Linked DNA regions of Alligator mississippiensis. The protein of the gene in region 2 interacts with the protein of the main gene of each other region in a pairwise test. Links are inferred from orthologs where the notes say so. Each region holds a gene or a part of one and is shown on either strand. Other genes may lie near its edges.

What was found.
Region 1: the proteins of PRKAR2B (region 2) and TAF12 interact in binary tests that used the Homo sapiens proteins (3 or more experiments, as listed by UniProt). The two-hybrid records come from large-scale screens. The link is inferred for Alligator mississippiensis from reciprocal best matches to the Homo sapiens genes PRKAR2B and TAF12.
Region 3: the proteins of PRKAR2B (region 2) and KIF5B interact in binary tests that used the Homo sapiens proteins (3 or more experiments, as listed by UniProt). The two-hybrid records come from large-scale screens. The link is inferred for Alligator mississippiensis from reciprocal best matches to the Homo sapiens genes PRKAR2B and KIF5B.

The regions. Positions count from the first base shown.
Region 1 is NC_081829.1:10,174,546-10,182,779, forward strand, and holds the start of TAF12 (transcription initiation factor TFIID subunit 12), read left to right. Parts: upstream 1-5,147; 5' UTR 5,148-5,161; coding exon 5,162-5,230; intron 5,231-7,932; coding exon 7,933-8,184; intron 8,185-8,234. UniProt on the Homo sapiens protein: The TFIID basal transcription factor complex plays a major role in the initiation of RNA polymerase II (Pol II)-dependent transcription.
Region 2 is NC_081827.1:27,443,195-27,451,221, reverse strand, and holds the start of PRKAR2B (cAMP-dependent protein kinase type II-beta regulatory subunit), read right to left. Parts: upstream 3,087-8,027; coding exon 2,780-3,086; intron 1-2,779. UniProt on the Homo sapiens protein: Regulatory subunit of the cAMP-dependent protein kinases involved in cAMP signaling in cells. Type II regulatory chains mediate membrane association by binding to anchoring proteins, including the MAP2 kinase.
Region 3 is NC_081828.1:192,942,629-192,950,776, forward strand, and holds the start of KIF5B (kinesin-1 heavy chain), read right to left. Parts: upstream 3,224-8,148; 5' UTR 3,018-3,223; coding exon 2,892-3,017; intron 1-2,891. UniProt on the Homo sapiens protein: Microtubule-dependent motor required for normal distribution of mitochondria and lysosomes. Can induce formation of neurite-like membrane protrusions in non-neuronal cells in a ZFYVE27-dependent manner.

The DNA.
Region 1 (8,234 bases), on a different chromosome or scaffold from region 2:
CGTTTATTAGACCAAACAGGAAATTGCGAAAAAAAATCTCTTTTTCTGCAGGGGTGTAGGTTGTAGCCGTGTTGGTCTAAGGACGTAGGCAGACAAGGTTCCTTGTGTGAATCTGATATCTTTTATTGCAAGCTTTTTGGGCTCAAAGGCCCTTCATCAGGCTTTGGGAAAATTAAAGATGGTAAAAAGTCCCCATAGATAGGAAATAAACTTCATTTTTTCACAGAGGGAGCTGGAGATGAAAAAGCTATCCCTCTGGGTCCATGAGAGTATCTCTGAGTGTCTCTGAGCCGTTCAGAGTTGCTCTTTGTTGTGTAGATCAGTAGGATTCCTTCCCTGGAGGTGTCCGATGGCAAACAGGGAGATTTAAAACTATTTCTTGTTCTGTAATGAAATTTAAAATCCAAAATTGGCTAAAATTCAGCATCTTCCATGTTCCACTGATAGACAAGGTTCTTTGGGTGAATCTGATATCTTTTATTAGACCAACTTAAATAGCTGGAAAACAATTATTAAGCAAGCTTTCGGATTCAAAAACCCTTTGTCAGGCTGAGGAAGTTTGAGCAGTCGGTGTGTGCTCTTCCTGGATGGAATGAAAAGTGAGGAAGCCAGCGGCTGGGCTGCTCTGCATACAAGACAGGCAGTCAGTGAAAGTGTAGGTTGAGGAGTCAATGGGTGAGAGAGAGGTGGGGGGAGTGGGGAGAGAGAGAAGGGGGATGAATAGTGGGGAGATACCCAGGGAGTCAGCTGTCAGGCAGGTTATAATGTGTCATAAATCCACTGTCTATATTTAGTCCAGACAAGGTTCCTTGGGTGAATTTGATATCTTTTATTAGACCAACCCAAATGGTTGGAGAATAGTTATTAAGCAAGCTTTCGGGTTCAAAAACCCTTCGTCAGGCTAAGGACGCTGCAGCAGTTGCTGTGTGCTCTTCCTGGATGGAAATATTTAGTCCATGATTTTTAGTATCCGGGAGGTTGATGAAGTGGAGTTCATAGGCTCGTCTCTGGAAAGTGTTTTATAAGTTTCCTTTGAGGATCAGGACTCAGAGATTGGAGAGAGAGTGGTTTTCTAGATTTTTTCCAAGCTTTCAGGCTCAAAGGCCCTTCATGAGGCAGTGGGGACATTTTAAAGAGATTTCTTTTTTTTTGCAATTTCCTAGTTGGTCTAATAAAAGGTAGCATTTCTGAACCAAGAGTTCTAGCGTTTTGCATTTCTTTCTGTCTCAGACCAACCCAGCTACCAAATAGCCCCCCGGCCTATACATGACACATACCCATAATTCCTATGATACAGAAACGTGTGCTAGTGCAGAAGGCGCAGACCCATGCCGCTTCCCACCCGCAGTAAGGAAGCCGATCCCGATCACACACACCATCTGCTCTTGCACCAGGGAGAGGGGGGCGTCGGAACAAGCGATTACCAACAGCCCCAGGAGCAAAAATTGTGCTTCCGAAATCTCTTGATGTCGATTCCGCACGGGGCAGGACAAGCCGAGGCCAGCCCACCCCACGTGTCACTCACGACAGAAGCCCTTTTTAACTAGCGCGCTGCGCGGCCCAGCCTCCACAGGCGAAGCGAATTCTTTACCAGTGAGGGCGAGTCGCCAACTTTCGCGCAAGAAGATACGTCCAGTCCCTCTGAGAGCATCCCCGGGGTTAGCTCCCCCTCTAGCTCGTCCTTTCCCCGCAAATCTCTGAAAATGTGCACGCCGCTGCACAGTGTTAGATGCAAATCCGCGCGCGGCATGCTGGGATCGCAGCATGGGCGGGGCCAGGGCCCAGGAGCGCTCCCGCCCACGTGCGCGGCGAGGGGCAGTGACAGGAGAAAACCGCCTGGGTTTGAACGGCGGCAGCTTGGTCTGTAAGCAAAGGCTCTGCCCCAGCTGTGCAAGGGGAGACCACGCCCACCAGGCGCTGTCAAACCATAGCGCATGCGCAGCTCCTCCGCGTCGGCGGGGCGGGGTCTGGCCGGCGCCGGGGAAGTGCTTCCGGGGCGGGCAGCGCTCGCGACCCCGGAAGGACTCTCTGTCGCGAGGCAGAGCCGGCAGCGGCAGGTCGGACCGAGGCGGTCGCCCGCGGGCCATGGGGCGGTAGGCGGGAGCGGTGAGTGCGGGGCCGGGGCGGGGGAAGGGCGGCGGCACCGCGGCGTCCTGCCCCCGCCGCCAGGTGAGCGACCCCCCTCCCCTCCCCCACCGCCCGGCAGCCCCGGCCCCGCCGCCCGCTTCCCTCGGGGCTCGGCCCTGGGGCCGCTTTGCAGCCTCCCGCGCTCAGGGCGTCGCGATGGATCCTTTCCCGCCCTGACCCCGCCGCTCCCGGAGCCGAGCGGGGGGTGTCACCCGCGACGGCCGGGGCGGGGCCTGCCTCACCTGTGTCGAGCCCCGCGGGGGTGCGAGGGCCCCGTTGTGGGCCGGGCGCCAGGGACAGGGGGCGTGGCCTGTGTGGGGCGCAAGCTTTCAATGCGGGGAAATAAAATAAAATAAAACAAAGCAGATGTCTCTGCCGGCCGGACTCGTTTTGCCTAGACTCACCTGCTGTAATTATCCCGGGAGCCTCGCCGAAGGGATGGCTTTTCCCACGAGCGTCAGTGACACCTTGACGCTCGCCCGGTCCTCCTTTGGAGACCGGCGTTTCAGATGACGGTTTATCAAGGTTTAAAACCAGACCTCTGGTCCCTCCCCAGACTTTGCTCGGAGGGAGTATTTCCCAACCTTGTGATGTCGTTCAGCTGTGTCTGTCTGCTTTGAGGTTAAAATACGGTATCGTTTTTTTGAGAGTTGTTTTTAATTGTTTTCTTCATTTTAAATAAAATATATTCTCTCTTGATGAAGCATCAAGCGACAGCACCGTTTTTTACCGTTATGTTTTCAGCGCTCGTATTGAAGTCAAAGTAGGGTAGCGAATGTATTATATAATGTGTTCTCCTGACCTCATACTTATTAAACTGATTAAAAATGAATTTTTAATTCTGGAGTTGGGAGGACTAGTTGATCTTGTTTTTTGTTTCCCCCCCTCCCCCAAGTACGACTGGGTGGAATTAGCCTCTGTTCATGTTCAGTTCTTTCAACCAGGTAAGGATTCATATAGATGGCCATGGATATTATATCCGGTTCTTCCTTTTACAAGGTTTGCTGAAATATGTGCACATTTTATACATTAAGTTTTGACTCGGCACCCTTAAAGGCGACAGACTAAGCAGAAACATTTAGCATAGTTTGTAAATTTTGGTCTTCGATTATGATGAAAAAATAAGGTAAAAAAAGTTTTGTTTTTTTCCTGCTTAATTCTTAGCTGAAGATTTTGGTTTTTGCCTTCTCCGGTTACCGCAGTCTTGCAGAATTGATGTTGCAAGGTTGAAAGTAAGTGGGGGGGAGACGAATTTTCAGCCACTGTTTAGACATTTTTTAATATATATTGAAGTCCAATGCTTCATTACTGCTTAGTAGAAAGGAGATGCCCTCAGATCATGCACCCTGTCCCTTAACTTAATTTATAAGTTCTTGCAATGTAGCTCTCAAGATATACAGCATGTCCAAAGTGGTCCTCCAGAAAAACATGGAGAGGCTAAACTTGACTTGTAGTATTTCTAAGGTGAAAATCAGAGAAGAGAATCCCCTTGCCTTTTCTTTATCCATTGTAAAGAAGCAAAAATTTAAAGCCTATTAAAAGAAACAAAACCAAACAAACAAAACCTTTTCAGTCTTCTAAAGATGTCTTAATTCAATATATTCCCCACCTCCTAGAAATGGGAAGTGCAAGCCATCTGGTGAATGGATCAACAAGCTATTTTATTTCACTATACAGTAGACTCTTAACTTTATCTCCTAGTATAACACTAATAGCAGGACATAGCAAGTTACTATAGAGATCGCTCAGGTGCCAGTAGCATTAGTTCAGGCTGTGGCAAGAATGCTGCTATTGCACAAAATGGTGCTAGTCTTTACCCAAGTGCTCTCTTCTAGCCCAATACCAAGAAGTCCTGTGCTTAAAATCTGGCAAATGAATGAAGTTTAACATAAAATTCTGCTTTCCTTTCAAGACCCTGGGAAATATCTTGTTTGGCAATATATGCTAGGTTCAACAGTTGCTATTTAAATACTGGAGGGCAGGGAGTAGATTCAGGCTGACCTGGACAGATTGGATCAATGGGCAGAGAGAAATAGGATGCAATTTAATAAATATAAATGTAAGGTACTCCACCTGGGAAGGAGGAACCCCCAGCACACCTTTAGGTTGGGGAGTGTCCTTCTCAGCAGCTCAGAGGCAGAGAGGGATCTTGGAGTCATAATTGACTCCAGGATGAACACGAGCTGGCAGTGTAACGAGGCCATCAACAAGGCCAATCGCACCTTGTCGTGCATTAGCAGGTGCGTGACTAATAGAACAAAAGAGGTGATGCTCCCCCTCTATGCGGCACTGGTCAGACCGCAGTTGGAGTACTGTGTCCAGTTTTGGGCGCCGTACTTCAAGAGGGACGTGGGGAATCTCAAGAGGGTCCAGAGGAGGGCCACTCGCATGATTAGTGGCCGTTGTGATAGACCCTATGGGGGGAGGTTGAGAGAGCTGAATCTCTTCAGCCTTCACAAGAGATGGCTGAGGGGAGATCTTGTGGCTGCCTGTAAATTTATTAGGGGAGGTCAACAGGGAATAGGTGCCGCGCTGTTTACTAAGGTGCCCCAGGGAGTGACTAGGAATAACGGGTGTAAACTAGTTGAGAGTGGATTTAGGTTAGATATTAGGAAGAAATTTTTCACAGTAAGGGTGGCCAGGATCTGGAATGGGCTTCCAAGAGAGGTGGTGCTATCACCTAGCTTGGAGGTCTTCAAGAGGAGGCTAGATAGTCACCTGGCTGGGGTCATCTGACCTTGGTCCTCTTTCCTGCCAGGGGCAGGGGGTCAGACGCGATGATCCATTGTGGTCCCTTCTGACTCTACAATCTATGAATCTATAAATAAGTCTTTATATTAACTATCCAGAAAAAATAACATCAGATCCAGTTTAATAAGCACAGAATATACCCATTTGTATATTTTCTGCCAAAGCCTTTTTATGATATGGTACATGATTATATATAAAACTTTTGCTGTCGGACTGGGAGCTCTGAAAGAGGAGGAGGGAGACCAGGTTAATACTGTCTTTATTTACAGGAAGATTTTGGAAAATGGCCTCTCCATTCACTGGGCCAACAGCAGTTGCTGATGTAATTAAAGATCTAGACACTCAGATAGCTGTAAGTAAATTGCTTGGGCTTGCCATGACTTGGCATGCAGGAGTTGATGTGAGGACCTGCAGATCTGTATTTGGCTTACTTTCTGACAAACTTGGTCCCATGCAGAGGATGAAATCAGAGAAATTTCTTTGTACTGAGACCCACTTTAGGGTGTAAGATTTTTAAAGCATTTCAGAAAACATCATTTTACTCTCTCTCTGTTATGTCAGAATTTCTTCTCCACAGATGTGTCAATTAAGGCTAGCTGGTGGCTGAACCTGTATTAGAACCCTGGTTCTTGCCTTTTTGCTGGTCCTTGCCTTAAGCTCTGGATAAGCGTCTCACTTCAGAAATGACAGATAAGAGTTCCTAGAGTGCTGTGTGAGTTTGGAGAATACCCCAAGGCATGACAGTGGGGATTCTGCATCATTTTTAAAGGCTGCTAAAATGAAACTAGAAATTGTTGTCAGAGCTATGTGAAATGACTTGCACTTATGTTGACTTACAAAGACAACGTGGTTTGTAATGTTTGCAGCAATGCATGACTTAGTGTTGGAATGAAGCACTAAAATATCCATTTTCTAAGCATTTTTGTGTGAATTTTTTGTTTTTCTGTATGGGTTAATACAAACTAACAAGAGAATTTGCTTGTACAGATAAAAAACTGACTTTGTAAGTTAGGTGTAAAATGTGATTTCTGTTAATTTATATGAGCTTTCTGTTTTTCCTCTAAGTTATTATTTTTCAGCTTTTATTAGGTGTTGGTTTGAAAAGAGACTTTTTCCAAACAATATTCTTTTGCAGAAGATCTAAAAGACAAATTCAGTGTAACATAAGTAGTTTGGGGGTTTCAAATGATGGAACATAAACTACTTAAAAATGACATAACTGATATACAGAAAATATTTTATTAATCAATTCCATAGGCTGATACAGGAAACATCTGTGTGAATGGATGTACACTTAGACTTTCAGAGTTAATACAGCTACTTCTAAAGTCTCCAATTTCTCCTCTTAAATCACTTTACAGTATAATACCTATGCTTTCAAATAGTGTGAATGTACTTTTAAATGAATTTTCTAAATAACTACTCAAAATATCAGCTCTTACTGAGGATTGGTAGAGACTGAGATGATGGGTAGAGATAATAGAATAGTGAATGACTTGTAAGAGGCTTCAGATGCTCTTACTCTACATCAGACTCCATAGTAAATATTTGTAGTGTGTTAAAAAGAATTACTGCAGCGTTTCCTTAATGTTGTTGGTGAGAACTGAAGAACGCAAGTTTGCGTAGAGCCTCCTTGTGTCCAGAAAGAAGCCAAACTGACTCTGTAGTGATATGCACTATGTTAGGAAGAGTAGGTAGCTCAAAAGATTTACAACCTATTTATTCATCTAGTTGGCCGGTTCAAATCCAATCCAAAATTATTTTATGTCTAATGGGCTATAATGTAAATTAGTCCAAAAGCCTTATGGCTAAACTGGCAGGACCAGGCTTATTAAATAAGCTTATGAGAGTATTAATTTCTGGCATATTGTTAGTAACCCACTAAACTAAATGTTCTGGAGCTGAAAGACTTAATGTGGTATAAGAAATGCGCTAAATCAAAGGAACTTGGGGCAGTGGTGTCCTGTCAGCTTCAGAGATCTGACTTGAAGATTACTAGGTTCACAGGTTAAATTGAATTCTACGCTATCAAGCCAGATGTATCATGTTGTCATTGCAAACTGTTGCACTAGTGGACATAGCAGTTTGGGCAGAAGGGTGATTTAGGCTTCAGGTGGTCCAGAGTGCTACATGCCAGAGCCATGCTTTCATCCTGGGTGCCTAGTCTAGCTAGTGCTTCTGCATGAGGAACTTTACCTTAATCTGCTCTGCTCAATTACAGAGCTGCCTTAGATGTAAAGACAGAGATTTCTGTTAATAGTATTGTGATAGCATCTCAGAACTCCATTGTTAACCAGGTCCACAGTGCTGGGCACTGTACAGACCCTGCCCAGAAAAGCTTATGATCTTGCTACACTACTTTGTTTTGTTAAATCATCCCAGTTGTATACCTCAAGAGATGTTCTTTGATCTGTTCCTCTAAACTAGGGGTTCCCTAAATGTTACCTTTTCATGCAGCTGAGTAGTAGGCGGGGTCTTTTTGAAACAGTTCCCAGGATGTGGTCCATGAGCCCTTTTTGATGTGGTCTGCCACCCAGGACTTTTAAATGGCCCTTCAGAGGCAAAAATTTGGGAACCCCTGATCTAAAATGTTAACAGTAAAAGTCTGGAGACCTTAAAACTGTTTGGGGGTGGGGGTGGGGAAAGGTGCAGACATAAGAATGAGTGACAATCTGTATCCGGGATCTGTAGGACACAGCCATGGAGTGAATTAGTTGTGGGACTGGAAAAGGGAATGTGAAGATTTGGGAATATGCTCAGGCTGGGCAGTCCATCTTCAGGCATGTCACTGGTTCTTCTCTTGGTGTGCTTTGCATCCACCATGCTGTCTGTTAAAGTTTCACATTTCAAAATGCAAAGAAGTCTCTTTCTCTTCCCACTGACTTCCCTCCCTCTCAAAATGTTTTTAAAGGCACCTAGGGATAAGATACTGGCCCCTGCCTTTGGTTTATGGTTATAGTGCAGACTTTTGAAGGGATTGGTTAGAGAAGGAAATCCCATCTCTGAATTCACATTTAACCTACCATTAAGCTTGTGGTTTGTTTGTTTCTTTAGCTGATCGGTTTGGGTCCTCACAACCCCAAAAAGAAACAGGATCTTGATAAGCTGTATGATTTAAAAACTAAAGCCCAGCAGATTATGAACCAGTTTGGCCCATCTACCTTGATCAACTTATCCAACTTCTCCTCGATAAAGCCAGAACCTGCTAGCACTCCACCGCAGAGCTCCATGGCAAACAGTACTACTGTGGCCAAGATGCCTGGGACCCCTAGTGGAGGGGGACGCCTGAGTCCAGAAAGCAACCAGGTAATTTAATTTGAGGTTTGGGGAGGGGAAAAGGGTCATCTGTACAGGCT
Region 2 (8,027 bases):
AGACTCCCACATTTCACACACATTTTGCTTTCTAGAGTTATTCTACATATAATTAATAAGCTGACTAAAAGATTTGTTTGACTTTTTTATATGTGAAACTATTTATAGTTGTGTTGATTTTTTTAAGATTACAAAACAGTGACCATGAATAAAGTCTTGATTGCAAATATTCACTATAATTCTTAGAAGGCTTCTTAAAACAACCTGAAAACATTCACACATAACACACATATTCCAATAAATTCATGCTACTTTGCTCTATTTGCCACACTGTAAATGTAACATGCCTGCAGTCTGTTTACCACTGATTAAACAGCCGACTACATTATAAGTTTGATACAAGCTATGTTCAGTATCAAAGAATGATGATATTATTTCAGTTCTTCTTCATTATCATTCTGTGCCAGCTTCCAAGTTCACTAATGGTTTAGGAATTTATGCCAACCTCAAAGATGATGTCATCAGTTTCAAAAGAGTTCAAAACCATCATGTAAATCTGCAGTATGTGACTGATAACTACAAACGCTTCTTAATTACATATGCCAAGTAGCTTCTAGCTGCAAAGTATAGATTGAAAGGATGTTTAATATCATAAGCAAGTTGCATCTAAATTTCACTGGGAAGTTATGAGTGTTATTTAAGTAAGCTAAATTTGTTCTGTTGAGCTTTTTAAATATCTGGCTTTCTTGGAAAAAAAATGCATATAAGGCATTACTTAAAATATTTCACATATATAAAAGCTTGTGCAGTTCAGCTAGCAAACTGCAAGCTTTTGGACATTGCTATGAGATACAGCTGGAACTTGATCTGGAAGGGCGAAATGCTCCAGTGAGCTAATAACGTAGTGCAAGTTCAAGCTGTTCTCAGAAAATCCAGAATGATGAAAATGTTTCCCTTAGTCTTCAACCCCACTTACCAATCAGCCTTTGCTTTTCAGGTTCCCATTACCTAAACAGAGAGCTCTGCACCTTTTCAAAGGCAGCTATGCCTTGTCCCCTTAATACAGAGATGCTCTGTCCCCAATAAATCCTGTCAGCCATACAAAAAGAATACATTTTGAGCTGTGAACAGATAAGTCTGAGCCTGAAATCAGGTGAGGTCCTGCAGCCTTCTTTTGCTGTCCTCACAGCTATGCTCATGCCTTGGGCCCTTGTGCAGGTGATTTAAGCAGGACTTGAAAAATATATTAACCTCTTGCTGTCTACCTCATGGAATTACCTAGGAGCGTGTGTATGTAAAATCCCATATGAATTTAAGGCAGACAAGGTTCTTTGGGATATATTTTATTAGATCGACTCAAATAGTTGGAAAAATTCTTCAAGCTTTCAGACACAAACACCCTTTGTCAGGCTGAGGAAGCATCTGCAGATGATCTGTGTTCTTCCTGGGTGGAGTGGTAAAGCATCCAGAGGCCAGTACGTATTCAAGAAAGCCAGTCAGTGAAAATGGAAATTGAGGTGGTCAGTAGGTGAGAGACAGGTGGGAAGGGCACATTACCTGTGGAGGTACATTTCTCACAAGACAACCAGTCTCTCTCCAATCTCTCAGTTCTAATCCCCAAAGGGAATTTACAAAATACCTTTCATAGACAAGCCTATGAACTTCACTTCATGGATACAAAAAAATCATGGACTAAATATAGACACTGGATTTATGACACATTATAACCTGCCTAACATCTAACTCCCCAGGTAAACCCTCCACTTTTTACCAGCTATTCTCATTCCCTCTCCCTCTCCTGTCTCATCCTTTGACTACAGCTACATTCATTCCCCCTCCACCCCACCTGTGTCTCACCTACCCATCACCTCAATTTACATTTTCACTAACTGCCTTTCTTGCATAGGTACTGGCTGTTTTACCACTCCACCCAAGAAGAAGGAGCACAGACCATCTGCAGATGCTTCCTCAGCCTGACGAAGGGTGTTAGTGCCTGAAAGCTTGCTAAGAAGAATCGTTTCAACTATTTGAGTTTGTCTAATAAAAGATATTGGAGTGACCCAAAGAACCTTGTCTGCCCATCTCCTTAGCCCAACATGGCTACAACCTACACCCCTGAAATATGAATTTAAGCGCACATGCAGTAAGTCCTAGACCTTTAATGCCAGAGGGCTGCAAGTGAGAGAGGAACAGTGGGGTCAAAAGAAAGAAAAAAAAAAAGCCCTGGTCCTACCCAATTCACTCTCCCTTTCCGCATCCACTCTCTGCCACCCTGTGACACAGGGCACCGAGAAGGGGGCCTGACCCAACGGACGGCAATTCTTACATGCTCCGTTCTTATGTCCAGCAGCCACAGAGCACCAGAGCCAATGGATGCACCGCTGCTGCCTGTTCATATATGACAGAAGTAACGGTGCCGGTTTAACTAGCAGGGGAACGCTAGGTATACAAGGCTATAGCTAGAGGTGGAGCGCCAGGTATATAGCAGGGAGCAGAGTGCCAAAAACACCCACCACCTACCTCCCTTTGCAAGATCCTGGCCCGCCAAGGGCAGGTGGCAAGGGAGACACGAAGGGTCCCGTCCTTGTAGTGGCAGCGCAGCCCCAGCCCCCAGAAGCAAAATGCCTTTGTGGGCCCCTGTGCCGGGGGCTGCCTGCCCCTGGGTACAGGGTACCAGGCAGAGGGGTGCTCGGGGCACCCTGGGGTGCAGGCAGTGGTGGAGATCCCAGACCGGTAGGTTTGGCCCCCGGTCCCCGCCGGGCTGCGGCAGGCCCAGAGCAGGGACCCGGCCCGCCCGCCCGCCCGCCGGAGGGAAGCAGGGACCCCGGCCCGACCGTACCCGGGAAGTCGTCCTCGTCGTCGGCGCTCTCGGAGTCGGTCTGCACGGGCTCCTCGGCGAAGTTGACGCCGCGGGCGCTGGCGGCGGCGGCGGGGCCGCGGCGGGGCGCGAGGCCGGCGGCGCGGGCATGGCCGGGCGGGGACCCCCCCGCCTTGCGGCCGCTCTCGGCCGCCGCCTCCGCCTCCGCCTTGAGGCGCCCGAAGTACTGGAGCGCGAAGTCCAGCAGGTCGCCGGGCTGGCTGCGCAGCACCTCCACCGTGAAGCCCTGCAGCAGCTCCGTCAGCCCCGCCGGGATGGAGATGCTCATGCCGGGAGCCCCGAGGGGGTGCGGGGCGGGGCGGGGCGGCGCTGCGGGACCGGCTCCGGGCTCCGGCTCCAGCTGCGACGGCAGCAGCTGCTCGCGCTCCGCGGCCCCGGCACCGACTGAGCATCCCGCCCCGCCCGCCCCGCGGGGGACCTCGCGCGCATGTGACCGCGAAACCATGGCAACCCCCGCGGGGCTGCGGCGGCCCAGCCCGCCCCGCCCCGCCCCCGCCCCGCACAGCGGCCCCGCGCGGCCTGGGAGACCCGCCCCCCGGGGTGCCTCGGGGTGGGCGCCGGCGCAGAGCCCGCAGTCAGCCCCGCGCTGAGGCCCCGCGGCCTTCCAGGAGAAAGGGCCATGGGCCAGTTTCACCCGCCTCCTGCCCTTGTTAGGAGAGCGGGGGACAACGGTGGGACCCCAGAGCTGCGCTGGCACCAGGTGGCTTGCTTGGCAAAGCTCCTGCCCTTGGGTGGAGCTGGTGGACATCTACCAAGGGACTTCTACCAAGGTCCACCTACCAAGCTGGTGGACTTCTACCAAGGTGGTGTACCCGCAGACCCTGCACACCACCCGTGTGCTGGATCCAACCCACAAACTGAGCCTGGCTGTGGGAATTGGCTTGTGAACCAGCTCCATGCCATGCATCCAGCCTGCAGGGCTAGGGACCAGCCCCCAAGCCTGGACCACACCTGTTTAGCTTGCAGCGCAGCACCCGGGAAGGCCCGGGCTCAGGTGTGGGGTTCTTAGCACCAGTGCAAGTGCACGCGCCTGCCAAATGGGGGCCCTTGCTCTCTGCAGGTTGCCTCCTCTTGAATTGCAACAAACCAGGCTGCTATTTCCCTGAAAGGGGGAGAGAGAGAACTGCGCTATTGGTATTGCATCATGTATTAGTGACTTGTATTAATTAACTGGTGACTGCACTTCCTACCCAGTGATGAATCCCACCCAGTGAGCCAAGAACAGTAAACACTGATTAATCTCTTAGAGTGGTGTTACAGTAATAGCCTTAGAATATTCTATATATGTCCATAGCATTTTTCACCTCTCAGTATAAGTCTGAATATTGTGTGATCCCGCAGTATTTGCCCTGAGATACTTTGAGGTTAAATACAGACAGTCAAAAAGCCTGAGGCTGAATCAATTCAATCTTTGCAGCAGAGATGACCTGAGCAGCGTGGGGGCCGAGGCAAATCAGGCTGTGTGGGGCCCACAGATGCAAGGAAGCCAGTGGCGGATTCGGCAGGGATGGGGGGTGCCAAGCAGCTGGACATGAAGCTGGTGGCAGCACAGACTTGCCACGGCTGCTCCGTCCGGCTCTGTGGGGCCTGGGGCGGGCGCACCAATTCACCCACCCCAGCAACGGCCCTGCTTTGCAGATAGTCTAAGCTGTGTAGATTGAACAGATAAGCAAGTGAACAGACATTCACTTTTGATTCTGGAAATGCAGCCACACACACCTGCAGTGGCTCAGGCCAGAAGCCAGGCAGGGGGGCACTAGAGCACAGCTCCCTGTTTGGCAAACAGCTTGGGCCAAACCTAGCTGCCCAGGGAGGTGCAAAGCTTCCTGGGATGCTGGGGGACTGTGAGTTAACTTGAACCTGGAGGAGCTCTGGGACAGAAGTTCAATAAACTGATTTAAGCTAAATCAGTTCAATTTGATACTGCACCCATCCAGGTTTATCTTCAACCAGTTTTGGCCATTTTGAAAGCAGTTTATGTGCACTAAACTTGTGTTGCGCTACAGATCTGAACCAGTTTCCAATCACTTATACCAGTTTATGTTTAAGTTCTGTCCCTAGCCTGAGGGTCTTAATAGCTCCATCCTGATCCAAATACGGATGGTTCTCAACACTGGCATCTGAGTTTTGATGATCTGTGGCACAAAGATTTTAATCTCAAGTGATCACTGGGAGTATTGTGGTCTGTTCCAACCTGAAGTGCTTCTGTCAGTCCACATTTCTAGTGCTTCCAAGCAGGTTGTTCATGTTACATAAGCATCTTGCAAGCAATCTGTCAGAAGCACATCAGTTCCAAATCAAAAAAAAAATTATGATATGGTGCACTGAGAGCTGAAGCACAGTGACAGAGTGGATCAAGTGTCTTACTATGGATCTGCAAGCCAGAGTTTAAACGTCATTTTAGACTCATGCCAAAGGTAACCCCCAGGCAATGCAGATGTAAATCTGTCTGGTAATTGGAGTCAAAGAGCTGAAGGTGGCCAGAAGTGATGCCAATCACATAATCCCTTTGTGTGCCATTGGCTACACAAACTGGTGTGTTTTAATCACATAAACTTGATGAAATATGTAGGTTTTGGACAGGCCTTGCACTGAGGTTCAAGTGGATCCCTGTGTGTCCTAGCATAAAGACTGCTTAACTGCCTTCTTCACTTGTGTGAATGTGACCAAGTGACTATCTATATCCAGGGACATGTAGCAGCTGTTTTGGCAAATTAGGTTCATTATTAATCAAAGACTGAGCACAATCCATGTGGCTTCATATAGTTAGGTTCAGTAATGCTTCTCTATTAAAAAGTCTTATAATATAAATGTGCTACTGGACAATCATTGAAAATTCCTTTAAAAAATTCCAGTCCTGAGAATTTAAATTGTTACCTAAAAGGCCATTTCTGGTAGCAGTGACTCAGCTCATAAAAGTGAGCTTCAGCCCCTAGTGATGGACTCATCTTAGACTTGATTGAAAAGGCTGCAGATTCACCCAAGAATACCTTCCCACGGACGCTAGAGTTCCATACAAATAAATTCATCAACCGGCCAATATCTTGCAGCACTTGCATGCCCATCCTGGGGAAGCCCCGTGTCAAAAGCCCCATGCCATCATTCCCTGAAGCTATATTTGGCATAATCGATCACACTTAGAAATGCCATCCCCCTTCTTGTTTTGTTTTGGACATATTCCTGGGCAATGCTGTTTCCAAAACAACAACACCCCCCCTCCTCCCCCGCAAAAGCAAGTAAAAGTCCATCTGCATTTTCTTTCTTCATGGTCAGGTAAAAGCTCCTGCCAGCACTGATTTTAGTCAGAGGTAAGACCCCCACTACTTCTTGTTTCCACTTCAGGCATTTATAAAGCAGTTACTTTGTTCTCTCTATTTTGGATGGTTTGTGCTCCAGAATTTTGTTTCAAGCAAGGAAAAGCCAAAGTTTCCTATGGCATTGGTGCAGTCTGTGGGCCTAATCCAGCCCACAGGTTGGAGTCATCCAGCTTGTGGGGCTCCTGGAAATTGGGTGACAGTAGCAACACTAATGCAACTAGGGTAGGGTAAGAGGGGCACTAACTCAGGGTGCCAGTATGCCCCATCTCCCTATGAGTCTGTGGCCCTAGGAGCAGGGTAGACACAGCTCTCCTGCCAGTAGTGTATCTGGGGGACAGGAGTGGAATGGATGCCCTTTCCCCAGGAGGCTTTGCCATGGGAGCCACAGCCCTGCACCCAGGGGTTGAGGGAGGTACCTCAGGGAGCCTGCCCTGCTGCCTGTTTTTTCACCACAGCAGCAGCATAAATCCACACTGCGCAGCTCAAGCAGCTGTCACCTGAGGACAGCCATTGCTGCCACCACAACATTTCCAGACCTGTGGGGAACCCCATGGGCCAGATGACATGGCCCTGTGTGCTGGATCACCCTGGTGTGTGAAGTCACTTTATGGCTGGATCCAATGCATGGGGCAAGACCAGCATGCTATATTGTACCCACAGACCCTGTACACTACCCCTATGCTGGATCCAGCCCCCAAACCAAACCTGCCTGTGGGAATTGGCTTGTGAGCCAGCTCCAAGCCACTCATCCAGCCTGCGGGGGCAGGAGGTTGAGCACCTTTGTCCCATGCCACAAATTAAATTTTATTTGAGGATTATTCTCAACTGTCCAAATTTTGCATGAAGTATTTAGTTCTTTTCTCAGATTTCCCTTGCAGATTTGAACATGCAGTCTGGTTGGCCATTTAAGAGCCATCTTAATTTCCTGGTTCTACTTCTTTAAAAAAGCTTCCATTTATGCTGTTATCACTGTCTCTGTTAGTGTTACATATCTTTATTAATGCTGTTATTTGTCTTTCCATAAGATCTACGAGCCCTGAGCACAAGCAGGAGCCCATTGTGCTGGGAACCATACAAAGATGGATGAAAAGACAGTCCCTGCTGTGGATCTAGTCCAACCTCCTGCTCAAAATAGGACCGTCCCCAGCTAGATCATACCAGCCAAGGCTTTGTCTAGCTGGGTCTTAAAAACCTCCAAGGATGGAGATTCCACAACCTCTCTAGGTAACCTGTTCCAGTGCTTTTGCTACTCTCCTAGCAAGAAAGAATTTCCTAATATCTAAGCTAAACTTCCCTTGCTGCAACTTGAGACCATTGCTCCTTGTTCAGTCATCTGCCACCAGTGAGAACAGTTTAGCTCCTTCCTTTTTGGAACCCCCATCAGGTAGTTCAAGGCTACTTAAATCCTCCCTCAGTCTTCTTGGGCACTTTTACATGTGCTCTGCAGGTGGGTGTGGAGGGCTGGCACTAAAGCGCCATCGTATCTCATGTATCAGCATCCCCGCACTGAAAAGTGGCAGTGGGGGTGCTTGAACTAAAGCTTGTCAGACAAGCTTTACTTCAAGTACCCCCACTGCCATTTGTAGGCATGGGGACACTGACACACAAGACACAGGAGGCTACTGGAGCATGACATTTGCCACGCTCCAGCAGACTTGATTAATTGAGTCTGCTCCAATATGCTGGAATTCCAACGCATTGGAACAGCATCTGCACTCATGTATAGGTGCCCCTCTTTTACAGGCTAAATATGCCTAGTTCCTTTAGCCGCTCCTCATAAGCCATGTGCCACAGCCCTCTATCCATTTTTATTGCTTTCTGCTGCACTCTCTAATATTTGTCCACATCCTTTATATAGTGGGAGTCCCAAAACTGCACACAGTACTCCAGAA
Region 3 (8,148 bases), on a different chromosome or scaffold from region 2:
AGTTATACAAGGGTTGTTTCCACAGCTACAATGTCATCCTGTGGTAGCTCCTTGCTTGATGCAATCAGTCTATCAGTAGCTCTGTCACCACCTACTGGCAAGGTGCAACAGGCAGCTATGGCAAAATAGCTGGCCACTCTAGTCACCAGCATGCAAAACCAGAGTGATTAGGTCAGTCTTAATACATTCTATTCCCACACCCTGTCTCCTAACTGATACCTAGTCTTTGCTTTCTGGCCACCATTAGAGGTAGCTCTACCAAATGTGGCTAGATAAGCAAGGGGCAGGCAAATCCTTATTCCAAGGGTAGGCAATTATTTTGTCTGGAGGGCCATTTTAGGAATTTTATTGAGCTGTTGCAGGGGGAGTGGAAGTTGCCGACAGGGTGGGGACAACTGATCCTATCTAGCCTGGACCTCTCTGCCCTGCACCAACTGGCAGGGGCTCCAGACAAAGCAGGCAGTCGGGGCCTCCATGGAGACCAGCAGGGACCCCCCACAGACAGGGTGTGCTTGGCTGGGCAGATGAAATGAGTCCACAGGCACGCAGGGAGCAGAATCCAGGGGCTAGAACAGGCAGTTGGGGGTATGGCTGGAATTGCACGGCAAAAGATTTGCAAATAAGGTGGGGGGGGGGGAGAGGAAAATGGGAGGAGCCTCTCCACTAGTGAAGAGAAACCTGGCTCAGATTTGTTGTGAAGAGAAGAGCTCAAGAGGCAGCTACTGTCCCATACAGTGGTGGAAGAAGCCAGCTAAGAAATAGCTGGAAGGAAGAAAAAAAATCAGTTCTATGAAAAATATAGTTTACTGAAGAGCTGCCTTATGAAAGTTGTTTCATGGGCACGGGTGGAATAGGTATTTTGTCCTAGTTGGCCAAGTCCTCAGATAAGATCTACTCGCTAGTTAAGGTTTACAAACTGATGTTTTAAAAAGAAGAGCTGAATGATCCTGAAAACATGAAAGTATTAGAATCACAGAGAATTAGAGGCAGGAATTCTTAGGGGTGATTGCAGCTATTGTTCATTGGATCAAGTGAGTGGTTAGGATAGACATAGATAAACTTTCAAGTACAACCTCAGGTTTCTCTCTTCACTCAGTCTCTCTCCCATCACCTCAGGTCTCTGAGGAAGGATGCTACAATACCTGAAACTTGTCCATGTCTATTTCAACCATGCCATTCATTAGTCCACAAGAATTCTTGCCTCTTGTATATTTCCAGGATCATCACAGCAACAGTATCATTTCAACACTAGAAATTAAACTATTTAATTTTTAACCACAAATATTGCCATATGTTAGGACTATACATTTTTACTACCGAAAGATGGGAATCTCAACATATCCATCCATAGCATGGATTTCTAGCCCCAACAGCTGGAATACTGAGGAGAAGGACTTCAAATCCTGCCATATTCCTCCGTTTAGCAATGATTTGACCTTGGTCAAAGGCCAAAAATACCAAGTCTTCAACTTGAGACCAGTGGAGGTTTAGATCTGGCCTACAAAGTAACACTTTTAATTTTAAAAAGTTTTTACAGTGCATATTTGGGGGGGGGTCAAACCAGTCATCAATTTCAAGCCCTACATGGTCCTTTCACAACATCTGACAAAGTGAATTTGCTGTACTACACACTACAGAAGATCCTAACTCAACCTAAGTGACAAGGGGAGGAACTGTTTCTTAAAATCCAATTACCTCAGTTTTGCTATTTCAAATATAAGACTTTGACCAATTAGAAATAATTACACATTGGCCTACAAGGTAGTAACAGTAGGCGGCATAGAGGGAACAAAGTATCACCCAGAATTCTAGGAGTAACTTTGCAGTTTTTAATTTCATATGGGACTCATAATGCCCCTGTTACTGAATACTCATATATGAAAGCGTTTGAATTTGCCCCAGTTATGAAAATGAAAGTTTGCTATTTTGGTCACTACCCCAACAATCTCCTGCGATACAGCCCAACTCTGTGGACCAGGCATCGGTGAGGACTAATGCAGCTTGAGGTACAAGCCTGCCAACCGGAAGAGAACAAAAAAAAAAGTCAGCTCAGTTCACAAGCATTTGTTGATTTTTCAGAAGCTTAATCACTATTGACCTAGTTCTACATTACATTAACAACCCATTCATTTTACATTGGATTTAGGCATAAGAGCAGAGCTCTGTTAGGGAGGCATAGAGCATAAGGTTTGTCTCCAAGCTCCATCTACTGTTATTCATTTGTCCTACTTGCACGCCCAGATGCAAGGAGAAAAGCTGTGTTTGGCTTGCACAGATTCAAGATGGAAGCGCACCATAGCTGCAATCTAGACAAATGCTCTCCAAGCAACACCCCTCCCTAGAGAGGTGCCGGCCCCCCCACCCCGCGTTAGCCTCACTCTAGACATTCACTTGAAGGCGAAGGTGCACAGATGAGACACAAACATTAAAAGTTTTCACTTTACCCACAAACACGGGCAGCCAAACCTGAGGAGACAGTTACTGCAAATTAACCCTAGAGCTGAGCTTTCATGCGATAATTCGGGCAGCACCGGCTTCTCTTCCAGCGGCTTTCAAACTTTTTTCATTTGCTGACCCCTAAAAAATGTCGAGTGGAGCAGCCCCTTGGCAGGGTAAGTGCGGGCATTTATATTTGCACACTTCTGATTGAGCGCAGTCATCTTTCGCAGCCCCCTCACACAGTGCGCCCCCTGCGGACGGGCTCAAAGCCGCCGCCCCACCCCGCCCCCGAGGATTTCTACCCCGCTGCATTTGCCGACCCGGGCTGCCGTGCAGGGGGCAGAAGGCGGCGGCGAGCCAGACCCCACCCGGGTTTCTGTCGCCCAACCCCCAAAGTGCCAGAAGCCCTTCCCCGGGCCCGGCCCGGAGCCCCCGGCGCGCCCAGCGCTCACGGCGATGATGACGGTGTCCTCGCTCTGGAACTTGGCGATGTACTTGTCGCCGCGCACCACCTCCGAGTCGTTGAGGGGCCTGAAGCGACACATCACTTTGATGTTGCACTCCGCCGGGTCCGCCATCTTCCCTCAGCCCCGCGCCGCCGCCGCCGGCCGCTCCCGCTGCGCTCAGCCCCGCGCCGCCCGCTCCGGGCTCCGCCAGCCGCCGCCGGCCCCTCCGCGCCGCGCCCAGGCGAGAGAACAAGGGAGGGCACCTCAGGCCGCCGCCGCCTCCCGCGCTCACTTCCTCCCCAATATGGCAGCCATGGCGGCGCCCGCAGCCGGCCAGCCCGGCCCCCCCCCGCGCGCGGGGCGGGCAGGGGTGACGTCACCCTCTGCAGAGAGCACCACGCCCCCTCACTGCCTCGCTGCTGCGCAGGCGCGGCGTGGGCGGGGCGGACAGCGCTGGGTGCCGGCTCAGGTAGGCCACTGCGCAGGCGCACGCTGGGGTGGGCGGGGCCACGGGCCCAGGGTTGCTGCGAGCTAGGGCGCACGTGGGTTGTGGCCCAGGGGAGGGGCTGAGGGACTGTCTTGGGGCGGGCGGTTGAAGGTGTTAGAGGGCTGTTGTAGTGTCTCTGGCAGTGTGTTCTTGGCAGTCATTTTATCTTTGAAAAGAGAAACCCTGGAACAATTTTTAGTAAGTCAAGCTTAAAGGGGTAGGACACCCAGGACCACACAGGTGACTGTATGAAATCACCACTGGAAAACATAGGGAGTTATGTGCATAAGCCCCTTGGTGTGAAACTCAGGCTCCTACGGACACCACACAGGTCTCAGAATAGAGGGGCACTGGCCCATCCCTAGACTAGGTAATATCCCTTCGGTGAGGGGGGAGGCAACCACTTTCTGTACCCCACCCTTGGCCAATTAGCAGTGAGGGGCAGGGCTGCCACAGCCTCAACACTGAGAGGTGGGGCCAGTGGAGCCCTTAGCCAATTAGCAGCAAGGGGGCGGGCCACTACAAAAAGACCACTTCCTGCCTTTCCTGGCTGTGCAGTGCTGTACCTCTTGGCACAGCCAATAGAATTGCAAGGACAGATGATAGACATGTATTTCCATCACATTGAAAAACAGGACCTTTTGCTGTTCATTCCTTATCCATAAATGGACAGGTGACAAAAGGTTTTAAAAAATTGACAGTAAAACAGGACCAATGGCCACCCTAAGGCAGAAAAGAAGCAAGATGCAGAGCATCTGTACCTTTCCCCACCTGCCCAGTGAGTTGGGGAATGGGGCATCAGCTCCTCAGCTCCACATTGCAGTGCTGACAACCATTGGCAACATGTCAGGGGTGCATGCGGGTGCATGTGCACCCCCTGAGATTGGCAGTGCAAGCCCTGAAATTGGCCACTGCCAGCACCCACTGCCACCCCCGCCCGTCCCCCCACATCTGCAGGAGCTTCTGACTCACTGCCGCCACAACCCCACTGCTGCCACTGTCACTGCCGTCTGCGGGAGGTTGCCATGCCTCCCCAGCCTCGGGAGGCACACGATGTTCATACTGACATCTGCAAATGAAGACAGGCTTTGAGTTTAAATGATCAGTGCCATGAAACATTCCTTTGCCTACATGAAAGCTGAAACATTGTACAAAGCATCTTGTGCCAGCAGCTGCTAGGTTCAACTTAAGCTTGCAATAGCGTATCTGTTTAAAAGTCGTCAAAAAGCCTCAACTCCACATATACAATTAGATAGTCTTGAACAATGGCATGGTGGTTTTGGGGGAATGAACGTTTAAGGCACTGTTTAAGTGGTTTTTGGAGATCTGGCACCTTCATAATGACCTCTTTAAAAAGAAAAAATCCTTATTTTCATTCTCATTTAGGAACAATTTTTCCTAATTGTTTTTTTCTGGTACAGATAAGAATAATATGGGATCTATCCACATAAAAGATACCACTGGACTGTCCTCTCTGTCAATACTCATTGTCTAGAAACTGCTGCAGCCCATTGTTCTCATGGTGACAGATGACAGAACAAGGAGCAATGGTCTCAAGTTGCAGCAAAGGAGATTTAGGTTAGATATTAGGAAAAACATTTCCACTAGGAGGGTAATGAAGCACTGGAACAGGTTACCTAAAGATGTGGTGGAATAGCCATCCTTGGAGGTTAAGACCTAGTTAGACAAAGCCTTGGCTGGGATGACCTAGTTGGGGATGGTCTTGCTTTGAGCAGAGGGTTGGACTAGAAACCTCCCGAGGTCCCTTCCAACCCTAATTTTGTCTGATTTCTATGACTGCTTGTAGATCCAATGTCTTCTGGATGTCTGCAAGGAAGTGCTTACAGTTGCTATACTGTGGTGTCAATGGGAATTGGGGGATGAAGAGATCCATCCCCACCTTTACATCCCAATAAATGTTTGTCTACACTAGATTTTTTTAAATTTGAGTTAATCACCCGTATTGCCTAATATTGTCCAGCTCCTCCCCCCCCCCTTTAAATCCTAGTCTAGTGGTTTTCAACGTTTTTTTTTCATTTGCGGACTCCTAAACAGTTTTGAATTTTCACATAATTTTGATTGATCATAGTTATCTTTCACAGACCCCCTAGACATAGTCTATGGACCTGAGGGGTCCATGGACCACAGGTTGAAAACCACCGTCCTAATCAATGGACACCTATTGGGTGTATCTATCCTTAGATCACAGAGAATAGTGATGGCAAAAGGCATATTTCTGAAAATGAAAAAGATATTGACAAATAGTAAAATTTCTATGGGGATGAGGTTAAGAGTTTTGGACTGCTGTGTTATACTAGTCCTCATGTATGCATCAGAATGCTGGACAATATCATCAGGTATGGAAAAGAGAATTGAAGCAAGTAAGATGTGGTTCTTAAAGCACATCTTGAAGGTATATTGGACAAGTCACACTTCAAATTAAGATATTTCGTTAAGAGCAGGCTGCAGGAGGAACCTGCCGATTAACATCAGAAAGAGTTGGAATTATGATGAAAGAGGAACCATGTTATGAGGAAAGAGGAAATTGGAAGTTTGGTCATAACTGGAAAGACTGAAAGAAGGAGAGATCATGGAAGACAGAGGTTGACTTATGTCAAGAGTTTGTCTAAATCAGTGGTCACCAACTGGTCGATCGGGATTGACTGGCGGATCCCAGAGCCTCTTGAAGTTGACCTGGGCTGTGGGGGCTGAGCACGTGTGTGCATGCGCATGCCACATCCCACAAGCCTGGCAATTCAGTCAATAGGGGGGGGAAGGGGCAGTGACCCGGGGGGGCACGTGCAGCAGGCCTCAGAGCACAATGCCCAGCCCACAGCTGCAGCCAGGCTCGCTCAGGGCTGCAAAGGGGTGCGGGGGGAGGGCACGCAGCCTGGGCGGGCATTGGGGGATGCATGTTCCTGGATCTGCATGCAGGGCAGGGCAGAGCAGGCTGTGGCCAGGGCAGTTGCAGCACCGGGCTGTTCCTGGCCAGGCTGCTCCCAGGCTGGGTAGCTGCGGCACAGGGAGGGGGACCCAAGGGTGGGCCATAGTCTCCCTCCAACCCCTGCTCCCAGCATCACCGCCAAGCACAGCGTAGGCCAGGCCCAGCAGGAACAGCCTGGCACAGCCTTTCCCTCCCCTTGCCCCTTCCTCCCCCCAAGGATTTGGGGGCTGGGGGCTGGCAGGCATGGGGAAGGGTGAGCTGCAGCTGTGGGCTGGAAGGCTGCACCAAGCTGTTCCCTTCAGGCCTAGCCCATGCTGCGCTTGACAGCAGTGCTGGGAGCAGGGGTTGGGGTGGGTACGGATTCCATGTGACCCTGCTTCCAGCGCTGCTGCCGCAGCCACCTAGCCTGGGCACAGCCTGGTCAGGAACAGCCCAACGCTGCCACTGCCCTGGCCCCAGCCTGCCTGCCCCATCCCACCCCGCCCCACCCCGCCCCACCTGGCATGCAGATCTGGGGGCATGTCCCCCCCCGCCCTCCTGGGCTGTGTGCCCCCTCTCCCTGCACCCCCCAGGAGCTGTTTGTGGCACCGTCCCCCACCCCGCCCAGCCCTTCCCCACAGACTTACCTGCTGGGCAGGGGGGGAGGAGGGGGGCGGTAGCTCTTCCGTTCCTTTTAATTCCAAAAGTGATCTCCGACCTGTTAAGATTAGAGACCACTGATCTAAATGGATGAATGTATAGACACTGGCAATTCTGTATGCATCAAAGACAAGAGATTTGTGGAAGACCATGGTCCCCAACATCCTGTTTGGATATGATAGAAAGAGAGACAGAGAGAGAGAATCTGTCCTAGGAAAAGTCACCTGTTTACATCATTCTTACCTAACAGTTTTCATTTTTTCAAAGCAATGGCAGGGATGTGGGCTGAATGGCAGATTTTGTCATCCTTCTATTCCAATCTACTGCTCCTGGGGCCAGGGATTAGATAATATATGTAACCTTAACAAATGACCCACCAATGGCTTGTAAAGAAGTTCATAACTTTAAGCTGAAGAACAGTTAAAATGAGTGAAGTTTTAAATGTCACTAAAATACAGTTAAAGTCTTCAGAGTAGTGGCTTTCAGCAGATATAAGCATTTTTCTGTTTAGTTAGTGATATTGGAAGCTTTTTCCACTCCTGTGTGCTGGGTTGAACATCTCAGTTCAGTTTAGCCTACTCACTTTCAGAGATCACCATCCACCAATTAAAATATTTAAGAGTACTGTGAAATTAATAAAAAATGATGGAGTCTGTCCGTAGTAAAGGAAGCATTATCCTTCACCTAAAGGTAGCTGCATTATTTGTTGCTTTTTTGAGGAAAAAGGGAGATAGTGATTCTACATTACATGGGAGGATTATGAGATTTAATGGGAACTGCTCTGCAACACACAGGGACTGCAGGGATCCAGGGAGTGCAGTGATGCAGTTGCACTTCCCTTTGATTCCTGTTTCACCCAACATGTAAAATCAACTACCCAAGAGGTGCAGCAACATTTCTATTTCGGCAATCCTGATGGAGTCAATTGACTTCATGACTCATTATAATCTATCTGATCCCTGCTAATCTCTCTTCATTCCACAAGTGTTAATGACCTTTGCTCCTTTTTAATGGCGTTGATAGTCCATTGATCAAGCTATTTTGCTGTTTGTTAGCTGTTCCTAGTAATATCTCTCTTCTCTTTCACAGCCCTGAAGTCTGTTTTTAGCTCTAGCTAAAAATCTGATCTCAGGTGTGGTAATATTAATTCAGGTGTGGAAATGGCTGACAGTGAAGTATTGGCTGCACTGTTA